Linked DNA regions of Macaca fascicularis. The protein of the gene in region 2 purifies or fractionates together with the protein of the main gene of each other region. This does not show direct contact. Links are inferred from orthologs where the notes say so. Each region holds a gene or a part of one and is shown on either strand. Other genes may lie near its edges.

Region 1 (7,135 bases), on a different chromosome or scaffold from region 2:
CTCTAAGCCAAACCCAGTGCTGAGTGGGACTGTGCCAACATCAATCACTGATCCCCCATCATGAGACATAAGGCAAGCCAAGATGATAGCTGGCTTGTAGATTCTAGGGCAGTGGTTCTCAAGCCTGGCTGCATGATAAAGTCACACTGGGGGCTTTTAGAACGTGCCACTACCCTGGCCCCACACCCAAGAGTTCTGAGTTCATTAGTCTGCAGTAGTGCTAAGATATTGATATTTTTGTTCTAATATGCAGTTAGGGGCTGAAAACCATGGGCCTAGGGGGACTTAGAGATAAGAGGTTCATATAACAAAAAGACAGAGAGGGGGTCATTTCCACCAATTCAGGGCACAGTGAAAAAAGCCAGAATGAGAATAACTTTTACAACAGGCCGACAGGAGACAACCTGTCTAGAGAGGACAAAATGTGTAGGGACACTGAAGGTGGAAATACAGACAGGTCGCAGTCCATGGAGAGCCTTGAATGCTAGGTCTCGATGTTTTCTCTGCATCACAGAGGTAACCAAGAGGTATTGAAAGTTCATAAACAAGAAACACAGTGTATTAAGGAAATGACCAAGGCAATGTGGAATTCACAGTCCTTGAAAACATCTGACCCCCAACAACTCTCCAGCCCCACCTTCTGCCACTCACCTCCCTTCCCGTGTCACTGAGAAGAAAGGGACTTGTGGTTCCCCATGCACACAATGCAAATTCTCACCTTGAAACCTTTGCCCATGCTAAAATGCTTCGCTACTTCAAAGCTGTTCTACTTGTCTGTTAAGATTCAGCCATTTTCAGCTGCCTGTCCTGATGTCTGAGCTCACCTAGGACTCCCATCTCTGAGCTCCCGTAGCCTTCTGGGATGCCATCTGTGTCTCTGCTCTGAGAATACCATCCTATAATTGGCCAGCCATGCGCCTGTAGCCCACCACCATGCTGGAGAGCTCCTAGGAGCCAAGAGTTGGATCTGACTCCTGAGTCCTCAGTATGTGGCAGAGTCAGTATTGTCTATTGAATAAATGACCAATCCTCAGTACTATAAGAATAGTATTGCAAACCAAGCTCCACTTTCCCATAAAGGAAGCTGTCCCTGGGCCAAAAACTCAGCATTGGTTGGCTGGACAAACAGAATCAATCAAGTGGGGCCAGGCACCTAGAGGTAGCCTTACCAGGTTGACTGCGTCCCAGTGGTCAATGGGGCGGTGGGCTGTATTCAGGTCACCCAGAATGATCACATGGCTGAAAAACACAATATGGGATTGTCAGAAAGGGGTGCAGCAGTCCTGGCTCGTATACTTTTTCCTGGGCCCAAGAGCTCAGACAGGCCACCTCCCATATTGAGGCTTCCTAGCCAACAGCAACTCATAGCAGCCTACCTCTCCAATCTTACCACAACCTTGCTGCCTTTCATATCTGACCAACCCAATTCTGATCTCCAAAGGTGACAGTGCTCCATGTTTGACATGACTGCCTCACTGATCAGTACCTAATGGGCATTTTTCTTGTCCTTCAATCAAGGGGAGGTGAGCTCAAATACCACCTCCCCTTGATTGCTCTAACCCACCCTCACTTTCCTGTCCTTCCCTGGAACAAGACTTTCCTTTGCTTCCAGGAACTTTATCATTCTCATCTCATTTCACCCTTAAAACTATTCTGTGGGGTAGAAACAATATCCCTTTGTCTCTGAGTTCTTTGGAAAGGTTCCATATCCCTTTCAATGGAGCTTAACACAGGGCTGGGCACCCAGGACCGACTCAAGGAAGCCTTGCTGCCTAGGCTTGCAGTACCTGCCTGCCGCCAGGAGGGCTTCTGCTCGGATTTGCAGCAAACGATAGAAGCGCATCTTAAAGACTAGCCGCTCAGGCCTCCCAGGGTCCGCATGGGGGCAGTACACGTTGATTAGGGTCAAGATCCTCTCCTTCCCTTCCCACGTGCTAGAGAAAAGAGAAACCTTCAAAAGGGGTCAGTTTCAAACCTCCCCTTCTGTCCCTTCCCCATACCACATGGTTTCCATTTGGTGACTGTCTGGGATGGAAAAGAAAGGGGTTAAAGAGACACAAATGAGCTGGCATGCACAGGACTTGGGGACTGACTACTGGTAAGGCAGGGAGACGGACATCTAAGGATGACCACCAGGTAATGGCGCTGCTATTCACAAAGAGAACACCCAGAAAGAGAGAAACCTGGGGCAGTGAATTCAGCACTAAGTTGCTTTTGAGATGTCTATGGTAATAAGGGCTGGATCACCAGGCCAGCCCCACACTGTAGAGATGGAAACTCAAGCCTCAGAGGGGGAAAAATTTGCCAGGGTCACACACTGAGCAGCCCAGCCAGGACTAAATCAGGAAAGGCAAATTTGGGAACTTCACCATGGTGCATGTATGTTTACAGGGCAAGCCTCAGAATCTTCACACTCAAAGAGTAGCACCAGCAGTGCTCAGTAGCAGGGAGATATGAGCTATTACCGGATCTTATGCTGTGTGAGGAGGGCCCGGCCCTCACTATCCAGAGCCCGGAGTTCCTCTTGGGTAAACTCATCCATGTTTCCATAGCAACCAACATTCCCATTCTGGGTGGCAAACAGGCCACTCAGGCCTTCTTCAGCAGCCACTGGGGTAGCGTTGTCCTTACAGAAGGTGGCTACACCTGGGAACAGACAGGGTACTCTGAGCAGACCTGGCAGTCAATACCCTGTTGCACAGCCTGTCCCACTCCAATTGTCCCCACACAGGTCACCTAAGTCATCTTCATAAAGTGTGGTTCTTGGGGAACCTTATTCAAACCTTGGAGTCTCAGTTCCTGCATCTAAAAAAGCCACAGAATGTTCTAAGTGTTTTACATTGATACATGGTGAGTGCTCGAGAAGTATTAGCAATTATTACTATCACATGGATTAATTAATTTAATCCTCGTAACAGCCCTAGAAGGTAAACATCATCCTCATTTTCTAGCTGAGGAACCTGAGGCACCAAGAGGTAATGTAACTTGCCAGAGGGTGCACAGCTAGGAATGAGCCACAATTCAAACCCTGGGCTTCTGGCTCCACAGTTCACACAATTAAGCACCACACTACTACTGTACTTCTGAGGTCCAGTAGGATAATTCTATCCATAAAAATTATATTTCACGTAATTTACTATTATGCAGCTTTAGCTCTGTAAACTAAATGTCTAAATTTCTTATTACCCTCTCATCAAATATTGGAAACCCTTTTCCCCATCTGCCTCCATCACTAATTTAAAGTCCACAGAAAGCCCCATTTACCAGAATAGCCGCTACGGTTGCGGCTGAAGCTGAAATAGGAGTTATAACCCTCAACGATAGCCAGGGGCTCTGTCAGTGCATCCCCTAGGGAAAAAAAAAAAATGTAAGATTAAGTCAGAGGTAAAACTAGCATCCGAGAAACACAAAGGCCTGGAATTACAGTTGTAGGCTAATTCCTTGCACACATCAGAGCCGGAGTTGGGGGTGACGGGAATGAAGTATCTATGAGTAGAGGAAGACCTAGAAAGATGGGAAATGTCAGAGAGGAAAATGATATCAGAATTAGAAGGCTGGCGGGGGTGGTTAGAGACTATGAAGTGGAGGTGGAGAATTAGGTGGGAGAGGGAAAGAATCAGAGCTAAGCCTGGGGGTCTGGACGATGGGAGGGAGCTGGGGGTGGGGATGGACATATGAGAGGACAGTGGGAATCTGAGCTAAGGGTGAGAGGTAAGAGAGAGGGAATTAGGGGATCTGAACTGGGGATGGAAGGAAAAGGAATTAGGGGATTCTGAGGGGAGATAGAAGGGTGAAGAAATAAGAGGACATCTAAGCTTGGGGTGGGAAATAAGGTGGGAATTAGGGACTTTCAGCTGGGAGGAGAGATGGGGATAGATAAGGGGTACGGGGTTCTGAGGTGGAGGTGTGAAAAGGAGGCAATTAGAAAGACTGAGCTGGGGTCAAAGGTGGGGTGGGAATTAGAGGATCTGAGCTTGGGGCAAGGATGAAGAATTCGGAGGTTTGACTTGGTGGCGGGGAGATGGACAGCGTATGGAAGGAGGAAATTCAGGGGACTGAGTTTGGGGCCAGAGAATGAGTGGGAATCTGACTAGATATGGGGTTTCGAGAAGGAGCTAGTTTGCTGAAGACAGGAAATGGAGTGCAACTGGGGATCTAGCTAGGGTGGGAAATGGGAGTTTAATAGGGAAGAGACCTGGGTCTAAGGGCAGGACTCTAAGAATAGGAAACTGGGAAAGTAAAATTACATGGGACAGGGGGCAAAAGTTAGCGGGAAAGAAAAAGTATGCAGGGATCCTGGAATCCAGAGCGCTCACTGGTCACTTTGGTTTCCTGGAGACAGACGATATCGGCATCCAGCTCGTCCAAAATGCGCCCCACAGCCACGGCGGCACAGTTGCTGGGTTCCTGATTTGCCACCCCTTGCACGGGTCTCCGAATCCCATTGATGTTCCAGCTCACCACGCGCAACATCTTAACGGGCTGGAACACCTCCCAGCCCGCGCCAAACTAGGCGCGAGCGAACAGCTCGCTGTTCCGAAGTTGGCCAGGCCCGCCTCCCGCGTGCGTTTGCGCAGGCGCTCTCGTGCGTACCACAAAAGCGCCTGACGCACGTCGGGCGGGGGCTTCAACTTCCTCAGTTCTCATTGGCGGGAGGAAGAACTGGGTGGACGTGAAAGAAGCAGAGCGGAAGCCTAGGGGCAATGAATGGCGAGAGGAGTTTCCAGTTGGGCTCCCGCGCCTTCCGCTCGGACACCTGAGTCTCAGTACGTTTTTCCTCTACTCAGAAGTCCACGTGGTGCGTCCGGTTACTTACAAACGGGATTTTGCCACTTTGTAGGCGACCCTGAGCGGAACTGCTCAGCAGCCAAAGCCCCGCCCTCAGTGCGACGGACCGCCCACCTAAGTGCACAGATGGCTGCCGCGCTTGCGCCCCAGGAGTAGCTGGCGCTAAGTGCTCGCGTTGAACGGGGCAAAGGGAGGTTCGTGGTTGGAGGAGGGAGCAGTAAGAGTCGCTCCACTGAGATAAGACTTAGGAGGAGGGCCTTTGGCTTTATTGGGGCAGAGGGGAGGAGGAGGAGGCTGTCTCAAGCCTGCCCTGTAGCTTTTATTTGTCTTGGCTCTTAACATTCCGAAGGATGTAGCCGGGCACATCCTTACTCTTGGTTCTGTTTCTCAGATAAGTGAAATCGAGGCCCAGGAAATGTAAGCTCGTGAGCAGCACTGTCTCCGGATGCATCCATGGCTCTTCTGTATATGTTATCGCATTTAATTCTCAGGACAGCCCTGTTTGGGGCATTGAGTCTAAGTTAGAGACGTCGAGTGAATTCACTTCATTCTCACAGTTCAGTCTCTCTTACACTGAAGTAGTAGAGCCAGGATTCAAACCTTATGTTAATTAGCTCAAGGATTACTTTTCTGAGTGTTTTTACTGACCACACACCACCCCAGTTAAGTCTTTTCCTCTGGGGCCCCACGGCACCCTATGGTCCATTCTGTCACAGTACTTATAATACACAGCTGTCATTGACTTCTATTTCTGCTGCCAATAGACTGCCAGCAGCTTGAGAACAATGACCATGTCTGGTTCATCTTGTTAGCCCATCCCCTAATACTGGACACAGTATATATTGGGAAGCAATAGATATTTGTCAGGTGAATGAATGAACAAAGAATAATAGCAAGAGCATCAACAGGTTCATGGCTTGTTTTTGAGAGCACAAAAAATAGAAATAATGGATATGCCCAATGTCCAGGGAAAAGCATAACGATGCATCTTTAGGTTCCTCACCCAGAATTGCACCATAATTATTTTTCCCCCAGAATTTAAGCATTAGAGCCATCGTCCTCAATGGTTACAGCAAAGACGCAGTAAACTGCTTTTCCTCCTGGAGGACTTAAATTTACCAGTTGTTGCTATCAGAAAATAGCTCTGTGATTAAAATAAAATTTGTGTGTCCTAAGCTTTTTCATGCTTTGGGGGTTGTTGACTCAGGATTGACTCCCATGAACGTGACAACTAGGACAAAGGAAATGAACATTTTTATTGCTCTTGCTTCATATTGTCAGATTGCTTTCCAGTAAGAGATTATGCCCATTTACACTGAAGACCAATCTGAAACTCAGCCCCAGCAAAATCCAGAACTTGCCTGTCTCCATAGCTGGTTTTAATTTCCCTATTCTGCAATGGCTTGTTAATATTAGTTCTGACCTTTGGGGCAAGGTGAACACATGGTTGGACTGAAGAGAAAAGGCTTCGGGTGGCTCAGGAACTTCTTTGGCAACTACAACAGCTAATATTTCAACAGAGCACATACACTCCCCCCACTTAACAAGGGTACATCCTCAGCCTTCTCAGGGAACCAACGAACACCTCCAGGCTTCCTCTTTGATGCCACCCACTGGACCTGCCTTAGGGGTCTGTAAATGCAAGACATCCGAGTGTTGGATAATTAGCAATGGAAGAAAAAACCTCTAGAATAAAAGGTAGGTGAGAAAGAAGGGAACGTAGGCAGGAGTTACACAAATCCACATCCATTCTTCAGGCCCTCTGAAAAATTTTCTTTGCGTAGATGGTTGGTTGACGTGTGCATTAAAGGGCATGGGAAAGTGGGGGAAAAGATTATATGTAACCTATTTATATATCTGTATATTTTTAAAAATCCATTCTGGCCTTTGTGGGACCCTGGCCCCCAGGGCAATTCCCTAGCACCTGTGAAAGTCTCTCTAACTTGTTCTGGTGTGGTTTTGAATGAACTGAGTGATTGAGATTATAGCTCTTACCTCCCCACTGATGTGTAAAGTAGGGTTGATTTGCTGTGGGCTTTGAACAAACTCTCTAGCTTCTCTGGGCATCAGTAGCCTCCTCAGTAAAATGGAAATCAGAGTCTCTAGCCAATGTTCCTCAGAGGGCTGTCACGATCAAGAAGGGTGGAAAGGCAGAAACCAAAGCTCTTTGGAGACATTTCGGGACTTCCTCCCTCTAAGAGTAGTGATCTTGCTTTTTTATATAGGCTCCACAAGCAATCCCACCCAAAACCCTCCAGCTGCTCTTCTCCCTGTGCGACTATGGTCTGTGGAGAGCCGCTTCCAGGACTAGGATTCAGTGAGGTTTGGGGCCCAGGCATGAGGCCGA
Region 2 (6,612 bases):
GAACTAGGTAACTAAAACAAAGAGATACCAATCATTTAAAATGCTGCCAATTAGACAGATTGAAAAAGAAGACAATATTCAGTGTTGGCAGATGTTAAGGAAAAACAGACCCGTTAGAACACTGCACTTGAAATTGGAGATAACCACACTGCAGGGTCCTATGCAGCAGTAAACATAATGAGGCAGCTCCATGCAGACTGATATGGAAAGCCCTCTAAGGCACTGAGTGGGGGCAAAAAAAAAAAATTGTAGAAACATGTAGAATGTGATTACATAGACTAAAGCACAGACTCAGAAAATGCTCTATTTCCAAACACACAATTACAAATGCAAATCTATAGGATATAGTAGACTGATAACAGTGGTGAGAAAGGACTTCGGCCTTCCTATGTTCTTTTACATTCTTCAGATCTTTTAAAACGAGAATCCAGCTGGGCATGGTGGCTCACACCTGTAATCCCAGCACTTTGGGAGGCTGGATCATCTGAGGTCAGGAGTTCGAGACCAGCCTGGCCAACATGGTGAAACCTCATCTCTACTAAAATACAAAAATTAGCTAGGCATGGTGGCGGGCACCTGTAATCCCAGCTACTTGGGAGGCTGAGACATAAGAACTGCTTGAACCCAGGAGGCAAAGGTTGCAGTGAGCCAAGATCACACTATTGCACTCTAGCCTGGGTGACAGAGTGAGACTCTGTCTCAAAAACAAGTAAATAAATAAAAATAAATAAATAAATAAAATGAGAATACGTTGCGTGTTATTTGTATAACTTAAAAGTAGAGGGCTGGACGTGGTGGCTCACGCCTGTAATCCCAACACTTTGGGAGGCCAAGGCAGGCAGATGATGAGGTCAGGAGATTGAGACCATCCTGGCCAACATGGTGAAACCCCATCTCTACTAAAAGTACAAAAATTAGCTGGGCATGGTGGCACATGCTTGTAACCCCAGCTACTCAGGAGGCTGAGGCAGGAGAATCCCTCGAACCCGGGAGGCAGAGGTTGCAGTGAGCCAAGATCGCACCACTGCACTCCAGCATGATGACATAGCAAGACTCCGTCTCAAAAATAAATAAATAAATTAATTAATTAAATAAAAGTAGAAAAAACTTTTAAAATAAAGTAGGTTTTAAGGTCTAATGTGTTTAAAAAAAAAAAAAAAAGTAGGGACAGAAAAAAAAGAAAAAGAAAGAGAAAAAACTCCAGTTCTAGAGCCAAAAAGACCTAGGTTTGAATCCTGGCTCTGCTATCTGTAAAACTCTAAGCAAGTTACTTACATTCTCTAAGCTTCAGTTTCCTCACCCATCCAATAGGATAAATATTACCAACGTTTCCTCCGATGTTAGGTGGATTTAATGAGAGAATGCACGTAAAATACTAGCATTGGCCGGGCGTGGTGGCTCAAGCCTGTAATCCCAGCACTTTGGGGGCCGAGACGGGCGGATCACGAGGTCATGAGATCGAGACCATCCTGGCTAACACGGTGAAACCCCGTCTCTACTAAAAAATACAAAAAACTAGCCGGGCAAGGTGGTGGGTGCCTGTAGTCCCAGCTAAGGCAGGAGAATGGCGTAAACCTGGGAGGCGGAGCTTGCAGTGAGCTGAGATCCGGCCACTGCATTCCAGCCTGGGTGACAGAGCAAGACTACGTTTCAAAAAAAAAATATATATATATATATATACTAGCATAGTGCCTGGCATAACAGAAGTGCTCCAAGAATACGAGCCATTAAAACATCCAACCTTCCTGCTCGGCTGCTCCTCAGGCTGAGCCTTCCCTCATCCCCAGCTTTTCTAATTCGTGATCTCAAAGCTCCTTCCCCTCTACCACCATCCTTTGCCTACAGCTTCAACCAAAACCTCTTCCCTCCCCAATATGCTAACCTCAGTGATCTGTCAGGACGGACCAGAGGGTGATCCCGCTCAGTGACCTCCTCCACAGCCTGAGAGAGGGCACAGAGCCCTGAAAGCTGCAGGTTTGTGTCCAAGCTGGATATCTGCACAGTGGCCACGACGGCTGCCACATGTTGATCCAGGGAGCTGCGAGGACCGGGACCCCGCAAGGCTCTGGCCATTTCTGAAATTGGTGGGAAAAGGCAATGGCTAAAAGAACTGTGGCACCTTGAAGTTAGAAGTCTTTAAAGTCAAGCCCAGTTATCCTACCAATATTTAAATACGTTATCGGCTACTGCAGCTTGCATAGTTTTCCAATTCTGTGTCAGGGATCTAATGATCAAACAAAGGAGATGAAGACACCACAGAAAAAGGACCCTCCTTTTCCAGAGATACTGAAGGGAGCGCTGGTTAATTAAATACAATCAAGGTCAAAAGGAAGAAGATGGACACATGGTTCCAAGGCATTTTCTCCTGCAAAAATGACCTTCTTCCATGGTTTTCCTTCGATCCTGACTATCCATTTCTTCTACTGAGACCACCCAGGACCTGTTCCAATTGCTTCCTCCCAGAACCTGACTCACCACTGGCTGACTCCTTCATCTCAGTGGGCAGGGTCATCCCCTCAGTCACCAGAAGCTGGTTAAACAGCTGCGAATCACTCTGTGCCATGGGGGGCTCAGTCCTTGTCTTGGTGGGCTCGGCCTCTGTCTTAGGGGCCTCGGCCTTTGCTTTGGGGGACTCAGTCTCTTCCTCTGAGAAGTTGGCCTCCGACTTGGACTCCTCTTCTGGATCTGGGGTACAGGAGTGATTTCGTGAAGTAGACGAGCTGCTTCGTTCATCAGACAGCAGCCCATACTTGGTGTAGATCTGGGAGTTGAGCAGGTCATTGAGAGTGCTGCCCTCAAATCGACTACTGAGAACCTGCAGCAGACTCTCAGCCATCTCCACGGACACAGAGATCTCACCTAGGGCCTTTTCACCCAGGGTCTGTCAACAGAAGGGGTATACGTTTAAGAGATAAGCAGACACAAAGGTCTTGGGGTCAGTAACGGGAAGGGTGATCACTCCCCACCACGCCCCCACACCTTCTACATACTAAACCCTCACAGCACTTGCCTCTGCCCCCCAGCAGGACTTCTCCTAACTCTAACCTCTAGCTCCAGCCTCCCCCTAGTGGTATCCCCTGTCTGAAACTCCTTCTAGAGAATCCCACCTCTAACCCTACTAGAAAATCCCCAGGTATCTCAGGCCTATAATACCTCATCCACGTTCTTCCAAAGATTCTGGAAAATTGGCTGCTGCTCACACAAGTCCAACTTTTTGATAAAGAAAAGCAGCTCCCACCATTCAGCCTGGGTCAGATATCCCACTCTCTCATTCTTCTGAGGTTCGGGCTGGAGGTACGGCAAAGGGTAGAGCCCATCCATAGGATTCCAGTCCCAGGAGGGAAATGCTGAGGACACAGGCATGGTGGGGATCAGCACCCCTCAGGAATGGGGTCCGTTTCTGGACCCCTAGGACTGCTCCTGGTCAGAAGTGGCTTCATCCCAGTCACTACTCCTCTGTTCAGAGACATGCTATCCATGTCCCCTCTTAGGCTCACCTGTGCCCAACACAGTAGCCCCTGCCCCCTTCTCCACAGCTGCTGAAGCCTTATCCTCAGTGGCTTCCTCAGGGCCCAGGATCTCCAGCATGTGCCAGTGCACCCAGTAAGTGCGGCCTGTCGACTGCCAGAAAACCTGGTATGAGGGAGGAAGAAAGAGGGCAGAATAGAGAAGGCTCAACCATCTGAGCCTTGGCCTGTGAAGGCTTGAAAGGACATGCCCAAGCATAGATTTGGGGCGCACCCTCACATACACAGCTGGCTAAGCCTGGAAAAACCCCCATATGGCAAAAGGCTTCCTTCCCTTATCAGGAGTGGGCCCTGCCTCTTCTTAACCATGATGTTCTCTGCTTCCACATTCCTTCCTAGCCTCTTCCACTGGTGGTGGTGGGGAGGTATCTCCATTTATCAGTTCTGCTTCCTGGGTGAGTCTCCCATGAACTTACAGTCCACCCACACCCCACACCCCTGCCACATTTTCTCAGCCCTCCAAATGCACCCCCCGCAAATGCCAACCCCCTTGTATCATTCCAATTCCCCAAGGGGGTTTCTTCTTGGGTGGCCTGCAGGAGTCCGCTGTATGAAGTCCCAGCTATACCCCACCCCAAATAAACTCCCAACAGTGTCTCACCACCACATGCTGCCCACCTGCACAGGGGGAATGCCGTTGTTGCTCTGCCGGAACTCGCCCTCGTCCCCAGCACTGATCTCCTCATAATCATCCAGCATCCGCACTCGCATCCCCGGCTGCAGCATCTGCTGCACATATTCTCCATAGCCACTACGGCTGGAGAATTCAGAGCGCTGGCGGAAGACCCACCCTTGTCTTCTGGGGGTGGTGACAATGGTGGGGAGTAAAAGGCTGGGGCCTGAAATGTAGGGCTGAAAGATGGACCGGGTTGGCCGGGGAGGTGACATGCCCTGTTCGCTGAGGTTCCGGGCCCAGCCCATGCTCCGCACAAGCTCAGAGATGAGATTGCCCACAGCCATGCTGAACTCCAGCTCCCGCTGTCCCCGGCTTTTCTCTCTTGTGGCACACGGGGAGCTTTGGTCTCCAGCTCCCAGCTCTGGACTGTTATTCAGCTGATCCAGGAGGGAGGTGACACAAAGGTAGCGCTTCACCAAGGAGAAGAGCAGCTTTCCTGGGATCTGTAAGGCACAATACTTGGGACAGGTTCATCTCTTCCTGGCTTTAGCTTCTCCCTTTCCCCCCAGTATCCTCCTTTACAGAAAAATAAAGGCCTTCTCCCCAGGCCTGTAGTTCTCCAACTTTGATTTGTGTAAGAAAGGCACAGGGAGTGTCTTAAGACACAGATTTCTGGGTTCTCATCTCAGAAATTCTGAATGGAGAGGGGCTGAGAGGGAGGACATGAACCTTCATGTTAACAAGTTCCCAGGTGGCTCTGGTGCTAACATTCAGTCCTGAACCATGTTTTCAGAAATAATGCCTCAGCCCTTGTACACAGCATTTCCCTACAGCTGGTAGTGTACCTGAGGCAGATGAATGCCCTCAAAGGCCATGCAGTGTTCTTCAGAGGATGTGGTTTCTGCAAACAGCTCCAGCAATGTATAGCGACTGTCAAAATCCATGTGCTGCTCGATGCCATCTTGCTGGCTCAGTGACAGAAGGACGTGAGCCCGACTCCCTGTAATCCATACCCAATCCATAACTTCTCCTCAATCCCCAGTACTTTCTCCCTGCCTTTCCTAGATTCTATCTCCTATCCCAGAGGCTTTCAAACTTTGTTACTAAGACTCACAGCAAGAAATGTTTTACATGGTAACCTGTTACAAACATACATACATATAACTGAAATATATTTTATGGTACAAAATTTACCCCTACTAAGTGCTACACACTAATGACTTAAGTTTTTTAAAAAATGTTGGTTGTAACCCACCAAATTGATTTCAAAACCAACTAATAAATCTCAATCCAGTTTCGAAAATACAGATAAATCCTATTCTCTTCTCTGGTCAATGCACTGAGAATGAACAGATAAGCCAGAGGCTATCATTTTAGCCTCTTTATATACCTGAAATAGCCTACGAATCTGTAGTTTTCCTTTGCATCAAATTGATATTCACCAAATACTAGGTGTTCTTACAGAGCTAGGAAATCTCTCCTCTTTCTGTTCTTACTCCCTGTGGCCCCATTTTCTCCATTGTTTTCCTTCTTCCCTGGCTGTCTCTTACCAGCATCGTGGGCTGCCAGAGCCTGCAGCATTTTGCCTGCACTCCGGCGGATCTGAGGCTCAGGATTGCACAACATGTGCATAAGCAGGTCCAGGGCTCCTGTCTCCCTGAAGACACCAGTGAGGGGCCCGATGCTGGCGTAGGCACTGAGCACGTGGATGGTGTGGAGCACAGCAGCCGTGAGGCTTGGGGTCCCACTTTCTGCCAGCTGCCTGGCTGCCCTGCGTACCAGCGCCTGCACATCAGCCTCCATCTCTCCCATTGCCACTTCATCCGGGCCTCCTGGATCTCGAGGAAAGCTTCCTGAAACCCCAGCTGGTTCATGCTGAGGTCCCTTAGATAGTGCCCGCTCACCTAACAGCCCAGGGCAGTTGGCGTAGACCTCAGGAGCTGACAGCCACATGAGGATGTGCTCTGCTTTGCCTTCTTCCACACCCACTTTGCCCACTTCCCCACACTTCAGGACACTCCATCGGATCAGGTATTCAGGATGCCCATCATGCCCAGGCCTCTGTCGAATGAGTTCTTCAGGATATGCCTGCAGCCGAGGCCCTAAAGGCACCATGAGGTCCCCAGCATGCCGTTCCCCGACCATCCTGACCTCCTGGGATATATAAGGAGAAAGATAAGGCAGTATGAGAAAATAAAAAAAATACAGAGGGGGTGGAATCTTGAGACACAGAGAAGGTGGGTGGTGATCGGTAGGCTGCATGGTAGAATTTAGGAGGCCAAACAGAAAAGGCAAAAAATAGGATGGAATAAATAGCTGAACATACTTTGGGATTTATAACAGAAGGAGAATGGAGTGAAGACAGTGAGGGGATAAAGAGATTTAAGAAATGGAAGAGTTGGCTGGGCCCGGTGGCTCACACCTATAATCCCAGCACTTTGGGAGGCCAAGGTGGGCAGATCACGAGGT

The links.
Region 1: the proteins of CUL9 (region 2) and APEX2 purify together in Homo sapiens (affinity purification with mass spectrometry; 3 studies listed by BioGRID and IntAct, counting the BioPlex papers as one, with this or other methods). This does not show direct contact. The link is inferred for Macaca fascicularis from reciprocal best matches to the Homo sapiens genes CUL9 and APEX2.

The regions. Positions count from the first base shown.
Region 1 is NC_088395.1:54,986,087-54,993,221, reverse strand, and holds the start of APEX2 (DNA-(apurinic or apyrimidinic site) endonuclease 2), read right to left. Parts: upstream 4,574-7,135; 5' UTR 4,474-4,573; coding exon 4,317-4,473; intron 3,349-4,316; coding exon 3,265-3,348; intron 2,647-3,264; coding exon 2,466-2,646; intron 1,935-2,465; coding exon 1,788-1,934; intron 1,240-1,787; coding exon 1,170-1,239; intron 1-1,169. UniProt on the Homo sapiens protein: Functions as a weak apurinic/apyrimidinic (AP) endodeoxyribonuclease in the DNA base excision repair (BER) pathway of DNA lesions induced by oxidative and alkylating agents.
Region 2 is NC_088378.1:128,343,915-128,350,526, forward strand, and holds part of CUL9 (cullin-9), read right to left. Parts: intron 6,298-6,612; 5' UTR 6,289-6,297; coding exon 5,694-6,288; intron 5,144-5,693; coding exon 4,989-5,143; intron 4,647-4,988; coding exon 4,146-4,646; intron 3,634-4,145; coding exon 3,498-3,633; intron 3,348-3,497; coding exon 3,154-3,347; intron 2,882-3,153; coding exon 2,476-2,881; intron 2,076-2,475; coding exon 1,883-2,075; intron 1-1,882. UniProt on the Homo sapiens protein: Core component of a Cul9-RING ubiquitin-protein ligase complex composed of CUL9 and RBX1. The CUL9-RBX1 complex mediates ubiquitination and subsequent degradation of BIRC5 and is required to maintain microtubule dynamics and genome integrity.